Danio rerio: one gene and its partner. The protein of the gene in region 1 binds, or shares a complex with, the protein of each later gene. Links are inferred from orthologs where the notes say so. Each region holds a gene or a part of one and is shown in the gene's direction. Other genes may lie near its edges.

Region 1 (4,341 bases):
AAATACAATATCACCTCTATTACTAATCTTCTAGTAAAACATTTACAAATCCACCACCTTTTAAAAACAGAGTAAAAGGTCCCCAAACTCTATCAAAAATTATATATCTATTTCTTATCATATAAGTTATTTTTTTTCCATTTTCATGTTTGTCACCATCTCTTTCAGCCAACAACCTATAGTTGGTGCACATGTACTTTTCCGATTTAAAGAAATAAGCCGTTTCGCTTGTAGAATGCATATATTCAAAAACATTTGCCCCATCTTTTTTAACTTGATCTCCTTGGGATATAAATGAAATAAAAAAATTAAAGGAGACATTGGTATAGAAACCTCAAGAATATTTTCTATAATTTCTTTCATACATTTCCAAAAGTTCTGTATTCCTTTACATTCCCATATACAGTGATACAACGTTCATTTTTGGTCCCTACATCTCAAGCAATTATCTGGAATATTTTCATTATATTTATGCAATAAAACTGGAGTTATATAAATCCTCATCAACCATTTATATTGTAACAGTTTTAGACGAGTGTTCATTGTTAGTGATTGAGCATCCAGTCCTCTGTAGAAATATCCTCCTCAAGATCTAATCTCCAAGCTACCAATTTACAATTTGAAGATTCCTTTGATGCTGACACCAGCATCTTGTATAATGCAGAAATTAAACCTTCACTAAAACAGTCTTTTGTTATTACGTTTTCCAAAATAAAGAATGATGGCATATCTAGAGAATTATTTTGTAATTTAAAGATAAAATCTCTCTATCTATTTGTAAATATTTAAAGAAATGTTTTGCAGGAATATTATATTTACTCACAATTTCCTAAAGCAACATTTATTGATGAAACCTGCAAAACAACAAATAAATAAATAATAAAAATATATATAAATTCACAAATTTAGTTATGTCATATTTATTTATTTGCATATTTATTTACTTATTGTTTTATTTATGCAAAAATGTATGGATTTACTTACTCATTTAAATATTTATCTGTGTGTTTATGTATTTATTTATTGTTTTTGCAGTTTTCGTCCTTCATAGGCTCTAGTATACTAATACACATTATAAATGGCTATGTTTTACATAAGCTTTCTTTTAATAATAATGTCCATATTAAAGCTCTTCTTTCTTTCTTTCTTTCTTTCTTTCTTTCTTTCTTTCTTTCTTTCTTTCTTTCTTTCTTTCTTTCTTTCTTTCTTTCTTTCTTTCTTTCTTTCTTTCTTTCTTTCTTTCTTTCTTTATTTCTCAATATAATATACCTGCATGAATAAATAAAAACCTCATTGGGTTTGGCTTTTGCCCTTCAATGACCCTTCTCACAGCGTTGACTGTCAACGTCACTGCCCTCCACCAATCCGTTCACAAGGGGCGGAGCTCAAAAAACATGTCGTCCATATCGGAGCTGTACGATGTCACTTGGGAAGGTAAATGACTTTATTTTCGTTAACAGCGCTTATTACGTGATTTACTTACAATATGTAGTGATTCAATAGTCACCAGAGTTCTAGATTTTGTAAAGGTTATCGCCTAAAGTTTCTTATTTGTTGTGCTTTTCATTAAAGACAAAATGCTAGCCAGTTAGCATATGTAGGCAGAGCTTAGTAACAGAACCTGTGTTTTTACGACTGTCGTTTACAAATATTACAATGTGTTTTGTATTTGAATGTCATGTTGTACATGTATAATGCTAAAAATGATTAATCTGTTGATGTCTGGTCTGTTTTCGGTAAAATGAGGATTTGCAAAGACCAGATATGCAATACTAATGTATCCCAAGTAATATTTGTATGTACAATCAATAAGAATGAGTCAGTTTACTTGATAAGATCCCCATCAGCATCATCATCTCCTGTTGTTTTTGTGATTAACCTGACAAAATCTAATATTTTAATTCAGTTCAATAATCTTCAGATTTAGATAATTTATCTTATTACACATTATCTTATTATACTGATATGATATTATCTATAAAACATGAACCTCTAGATGTGTGATAAAACTTTTGACAATAAGGCATATATAGGTTGATTGTCGTGAAAATAATATATTATCAAAATAAATAATAAATATTAATAAATATTATTAAAAATCAGATATTAGCTTTTCATTCTTACATTTTCCGGTCATGGAAAACTTTAACAAGTAGAAGTATACATTACAATTATTAATAATCAGTAAGTACACAAGATTTTTATGCCACATTTTGTTTGCTTGTTATTTTTTATTTACATGCGTATTTACATTAATTATAATTTATGCTGTTGAGGTAAAGTTGGTTTTATGTTCGCACATTCGTTCCGTGACAACTTCTGACACGCTCCCTATAGTGTTTACTAGGCTTGGATGATAACTGATTTCAAAGTTTACTGCAGTTTGGAAAAGTCAAGGTATTAAAACCGCAAAAATGTTTTGTTAAACTGTTTCTAATGTATACAAAGAGGGGTTTTAAGTGTTTTTAATCTGTTGTAAGGAAATCTGTGTTTTTGCTTATGAAGATAGTACAAATCAATGGTTTAATTGAATTTTGTAGCCTGACATGTTCACTGTTCCAAAATATAAATATTTCCTAAAATGTAATGTATTGTCTTAAATAGGGAAATTTTTTATTTTTTACTAAGACATTTAAAAAAATTATTTTAGAGCAGTAAACACAATACCCCAATACTGTGTGATAGATCCAAACTTACATTGGCCCATGCCTAGTGTTTACTGTTGTACTTTGTATATCCGGTCTGAAATTGCATGTAAGTATGACTTGAAAACAACATTAGCACTATTTATCTGCTTGTGAACAATGTTGTGCTTTGATAGTCATTGGCTGCTAATATGAGAAAGAAAACTTTTCTGAAATTATAATATTATTGAATCAGAATTGTCGTTGACCAGCAGCCAAAGACACATGCAATTTGTAGAATCACTGCAAAGTTTAACCATAATAGAGTGAAAGTTTATTATTTGCATGTGTTTTGAGGAGAGTTTAAAACATTTGGGCACCAGAAATGTATTATGTTTGGAGGTATAACAAAAAAAATACTGTATTTAATTATATGATTTATGCACAAAAGCTTAAAAAATCATTGTTGTCTTGTTTCTATTCAAAATTGCATGTAAGTATGACTTAAAAAAAACACCACTAGCACTAATAATAATTCCTAAAGTTATATCAGGGCTCAACAATAAAGACTGCCCAATGAGAGACTCTCAGGACAAGGTGCTACAATATTGTTCTAAGCAGACAATAAAACAAACAAAACAATTAGGAACATACTGTACATTGTTTACAAAATAATATTTTATAATAGGATGTTTGGGATGTTTGGAATCAGCACTAATATGTATTGCTCTCCTCATGACCGCCTTTTCCCATAGAGTCTGTATGGGCTCGTATTGTTTTATTCCTACGATTTTCATGGCTGTTTTTCAGTAGACAGAATTGTTGTTACCTGCCTGATTAGGCCAGTGCTGCGTTGTCACAAAATTTTAACTTGCCTGTGATTACGAAAATCAAGAACCAATAAACAGGTTGTGCTTTTAAGCCTTTGAATTATACCTTTACTGTGAAGTCATAAACACCATATTGCTTTTCGGTTTCTTTTATCTGATAGGATATTTTGAGCATGTTTATTTTTCCGTAACCTGGTAAAAACCACTAAAGACATAGACGTGTATTTTACAAGCTAAACGTATTATTGCTCTTAATTGGAAAAATATAAATGAACCTTGAATAGGAAAGTGGATTAAAGAAATAGCATCGCATATGTCAATGCAAAAGATCACATACATTTTCAAAAAGAAAGAAAATGTGTTTGTAGATATCTGGAGACCTTTTAATAACCTCCTGAAGTACAATTTAAATGTTGGCGCTTGGCAGTCTGCTACAACAAGAACAAGCTTAGGAATATAGGGAGTAACACGGTCTAAACATAGACACAGGAAACAATCTTTACCTCATTTAAACCTATCCCTTTTTTTTTGCTCTTGTTTATTTATTTATTTATTTTTTTAAAGGGGAATGGGTCAATGGGAGGGAGAATAGGGAGTAACAAGTTTGTTGTATCTTCATGATTGTTATTCTGTAATTGTAAAATCTGTTGTGATATGCAAATTGAAAAAAATAATAAATATATTGTACAAAAAAATAAATAAAATAAAACACTACAGTGAAGAGATGCCAACATCAAATTATCAGGCTAAAAGAAAAAGTTTGTTCCTAACGTCTTGGAAACAGACATTTTAGTGGGTAAAGCACGACAAAAAACAAAAAAAAAACAAATGAAGTGATGTTTTGCACAGCTTGCCGTAAGTTTGGGAAGTCAACCACCTTTTGTTTT
Region 2 (4,584 bases), on another chromosome or scaffold:
AATTAGTTAAACTGCAGAAATATGGTTCTAGTAACTAGCTGCCAATAGGTAAATGCAGCTAACATTAGCTTTTAGTACGGTATTTGTTTAGTAACACATAATTTCTGCGCCAGTTTTTACATGTTTTCAGCCATTTATCTTACACGTACATCACTGGTAGTTACTATTATTCCACTACTAAAAATAGTTTTTACTTCCTGTGGTTCAAACATGCTGAAAAGTAATAGTTGGAGAAATTGTGAAACCCGTCACGTATGTGTGTGTGTGTGTACACATTACCTTTCTTCTTTTTCTCATCATCTTCATTTTTATCTGTCTCCATCTCCTATTGAAATATTTTACATACATATTGTCATAATTAATATTTGTAATATTAATTCAGAAAGCATAATTATCAATATTGAGCTGCATGCCAACCTCGTCCTCTGGGGCAGGGGGATCAGGAATGGGTATGTCCAGGGGTGCATGGAGAGATGAGAGGTCAGTGATACTAAACTCATCGCCCTAAAATCATAAAGAAATATTTTAATTCAGTTGTTGCTGAATTCAAGCTAAAACAACTCTGTTGAGCTGGAACAGGGTAATGATGAGTTCATTTAAAGACACATATAGCCTAGTGTTTATTAGCATGTAGTCACATCTGCCAAATAATCAAATGTTCGCAAAATATACCTTCAGCAGGTTGTCAAGGTGTGAGATCTTCAATGGTATGTAATTGGAGAACAGGTCTTCTGCCTGTCAACAAAAGAACTATCAGTCAACACAAACAACAGTGCAGCAACAAGACTGAATGCAGCCTATGTTTGGATTATCTGAAGTAAACTCATACCTGCTTATACAGTGACTGGCGGTAGTTTTCTATCTGGATGAAGATAAGACAAACGTTCAATTACAATTCATTTATCTTAGAAATTATTTTTCTACAAGCATCGCGCTTCAGGTAAAGTTACTTTCACTTTCACTGTCAATGAGGAAGTGTGACTCAGGATTTTTGTAACATATAAATTGAGATATTAAGCAGTTGTTACGTTCGATAACATCCATACATTCGACAAAAAGACCTTTAAAACGTCTTACAGGTTCCATACTCAATGCACAGCTTAAACAAACGGTTTTTACTTCGAGTTTGTAAACGGAGATTATATAAAGATTATAAAGATGAACTTACCCTCACTGCATTATCAGAGTTTAGCTTCAGTACATTAGCTTTAGACATAATGAAAGCAATTTGTCTTAATAAGCGAAGCAGGTCGCAAGCAGAGAGACGCAGACGTTTAGATGACAAATTTCCCTTCGCGATACTTTCGATTTCTAAACGACGCCCACTGGGTTCACGTCAGGACTCTGGGTAAGTACCGGTGAACTACCAAAAATATGCATTTCCATATTACTGTCGAAAATGTTACAACACCCATTTCTATCTGTTTTTATTTAATACAGAAATATGACAATTTTATAAGAAATAAGGAATCGTCATTCAACCAATGCCTTGATAATTAACACAAATAGCAATTAATAGCTTAAACGTTATGTTTATGTAAAAGCAGAGACAGAACACAAGATAAAGAGAAAAAATAAAATTAAAATTGAGCGCCACAAAATCCTAATGGAATATGTCCCAAACTATGCACTATTATTAATTATTATAATTATTATTCATATAGATTATTGTTATAATGGCTTCTCCTTTTCCTCAAGCACGGTCGTTTTGGGGAAAAATCAAGCCCTGCAGGCGGCAGTAATGCGTGATTTGTGCAAAAGCACGACCATGACGTCACGAAGAAGAAACAACGCCGCAGTCATCCTCAATGTCCGTTCGCTTTTATGAAGTGTTTATGAAGTAAACAGCAAAATATTTCTGTTTTAATTTGTTTGATTTAATCAGTGGATTTTTTTATTTGACTACTACAAAAGGGAAGAACAATATAAGGGTGAGTGTATTCTTACGAAGCTTTTATATGAGGAATAAAGCGTTTACTGCTAAATTAAATGTTGTCTTCGATTGACATAAAGAGCCTTGATTTGATTGCGTAGATTTTAGATTTTATTATGCCTTTTTTGTTGTGAATTCTTGGAATTTCTGCCAATTTTCTTTCATCCTCCATATAAAACGCTTGTCTAAGGGGGGTGTCTGGGATGCTGGAATTTATCCGTCGTCCTGGGCTGAATGCTGGGGAACATCCTGGTCAGATTGGCAGTCAATCTCAAGACTAACGATATATTGGACACATACACATTTCTACACACAAGCAATACTGTTTCAAATTAATCTAACCTTCACCTAGAGGAAACCCACTTCAACACAGGAAAAACATACAAAATTAACATAAACGGGCCTTTAAACGGGCAGTTGTTAAACTTGGCAAAAGATCTCCTTGATATCTAAAATAACGTGGTGTATTAGTTTTTGAGTAAATGTTTAACAAGCACCTGTTACTGTTAGTATCGGAAGAAAATATTTTCTTGACAGTTTAGACATACAAATCCAAATGACAAGTCTAAAATTAAACGTAAAACATTTTAAATAGTTAGTTTGAAGCTCTCAGCAAGAAAATGCAGGTTTTTAAAGAGCAGAGTGAAATAAAAAAGTAGTTCCACAAAAATAAAACACCAACATTGTCAGGATAAAGTTGCTAAAAAATAAAAGTTGTATTGTGTTTTCCCACTTTGCTTCAGTTGTTCAGACAACGATTCACAAAAACGACTCAAAGTCATATTATGGCTGTCATGTACATAAACATGCTGTCATAGGTTCCATAATTTGGGATTTAGTGTTGGCATGGTTTCATTTTCAAAACTGTAAATTGAAAGTGCATACATCAGCCGTTTTCCATTTAGCTGTTAACAGCCCTTTAGTAATTGCTCAAATTTGGCCTGTGTAATAATATTCTGATCTGTTTCAAACATTTAGCACATAAAAACACAAATACATAGAACTTCTAAAACAAAGTACATTATTGAAGGTTAGAGTAAAGGTTAAGTGGTAAAAAATAGTCATATATATATAGTCATATATATCATTTTTCATTAAAAAGAGTTAAACTACACAAATGTTGGGGGAATAAGAAAATGCTAAACTGAAAGTTTATTTATTTCCCCTTCAAATGTATATTCATTTCTAGAACATAGTTACTTTTCCTCATGTCAACATGCTAATAAGCGGGTGTCTATCTGTCAGAACTGAAGACAGTCAAAAAAAAAAACAAAAAAAGCAACATTTTTCTTACGATCAACCAATGATGGCATAAAGGCAGCCTTCTACTGATTGACAGACACCCTCTCATTGGCTTGTTTTAGGAAAAATACGCAACTGCGTTCAAGAATTAATAAACATTTGAAAGGAGGGAAAATAAACTTTTAGTTTGCAGTTTCTCATTTTCCCAACATTCATGTAATTTATTTAATATTTACCTGCCCACACTATTAATTCTTTAAATATTTATTTATGCAGGAGTTTATATTTTTTTACATACATTTATTTATTTATTTGCATATTTATTTATTTATTTAATGTTTAATTTATGCAGGAATTTATTTTAAATTTATTACAAATTTATTTACTCATTTATTTATATATTTGTGTATTTATTTATTTGTATGTTTCTATTATTTTATGACACAGTCCACACAATCAATCTCTGTATATTGGTGCAAGTTCATAGCTAATACAACCGGTATATAATGTTGATAGAACATCCATCTGTAAATATCACTATAGTTTTTTCTATAACTGCACTTTATAACTTATACTTGTATCCTGAACTTGCTGCTATTGCACTGCCTAAACTGGACCTAAGCTGCATTTTGTTGCATTGTACTTGTACATGTGTAATGACAGTAAAGTTGAATCTAATCTAATCTAAATGTAATGCACATAAAAACACTGACAAAAACTGTATTTACATGCAGAAAATTCCTATATTTATGTGGCTAATAGTACTTCACACTCTCCATTCATATAATTGTTTTTACTATTTTATTGATTTTTTTTTAGCTTTATCTTTTTTTTTTCTCCCAAGATGGGCGAGGTGGAGCTATCCTGTTTGGCTTATGCCAAGATGTATCTTCATGCCAGTCAGTTTCCACGCTGCAGTGTGAACGGCCTGCTGTTGTCGTCCAGTACAGCAGGGGGAGCCTTATGCATCACAGACTGTGTTCCGCTGCTCCACTCACACCTGTCTCTGGCTCCAATCACACAGCTAGCGCTTACACAGGTAACTATACTGTATTCCCAGTGGACATTGAATGTGCACACAGAGTTTCTTCATCTGCAATTGCATATGTTATTTGTAGGTTTGCTTAAAAACATGCCTTTTGACCAATACAAATGATCATTCACTGTATTAGGCATTTATTTACTAGACAACATTAGTTTTTCACTAGCTTTTGCAATTAATTTGGATACTCCTCATCTACTTATTTAAGAAAATAAACACATCTTTAAAAATATAGACCTCTTGCATATTTCAGGTACTGTTTTTTTACATTATTAGTCCTTGTATAGACACAGATAAAGAAACCAATATCTACAACTGTCTGAAAATACTTTCCCCAAAGCTTTTAAGTTGGTACCATGGTGCTGAT

Evidence for each region.
Region 2: emc2 (region 1) and emc9 share a complex: the UniProt entries of both Homo sapiens proteins name them as parts of the ER membrane protein complex. The link is inferred for Danio rerio from reciprocal best matches to the Homo sapiens genes EMC2 and EMC9.

What each region holds. Positions count from the first base shown.
Region 1 is NC_133191.1:43,065,289-43,069,629, forward strand, and holds the start of emc2 (ER membrane protein complex subunit 2), read left to right. Parts: upstream 1-1,368; 5' UTR 1,369-1,394; coding exon 1,395-1,434; intron 1,435-4,341. UniProt on the Homo sapiens protein: Part of the endoplasmic reticulum membrane protein complex (EMC) that enables the energy-independent insertion into endoplasmic reticulum membranes of newly synthesized membrane proteins.
Region 2 is NC_133187.1:13,888,659-13,893,242, reverse strand, and holds the start of emc9 (ER membrane protein complex subunit 9), read left to right. Parts: upstream 1-1,783; 5' UTR 1,784-1,931; intron 1,932-3,994; exon of another isoform or gene 3,995-4,019; coding exon 4,020-4,214; intron 4,215-4,584. Other genes in the region: psme2 (proteasome activator complex subunit 2), read right to left, coding at 280-325, 418-504, 673-735, 830-862, 1,169-1,216. UniProt on the Homo sapiens protein: Part of the endoplasmic reticulum membrane protein complex (EMC) that enables the energy-independent insertion into endoplasmic reticulum membranes of newly synthesized membrane proteins.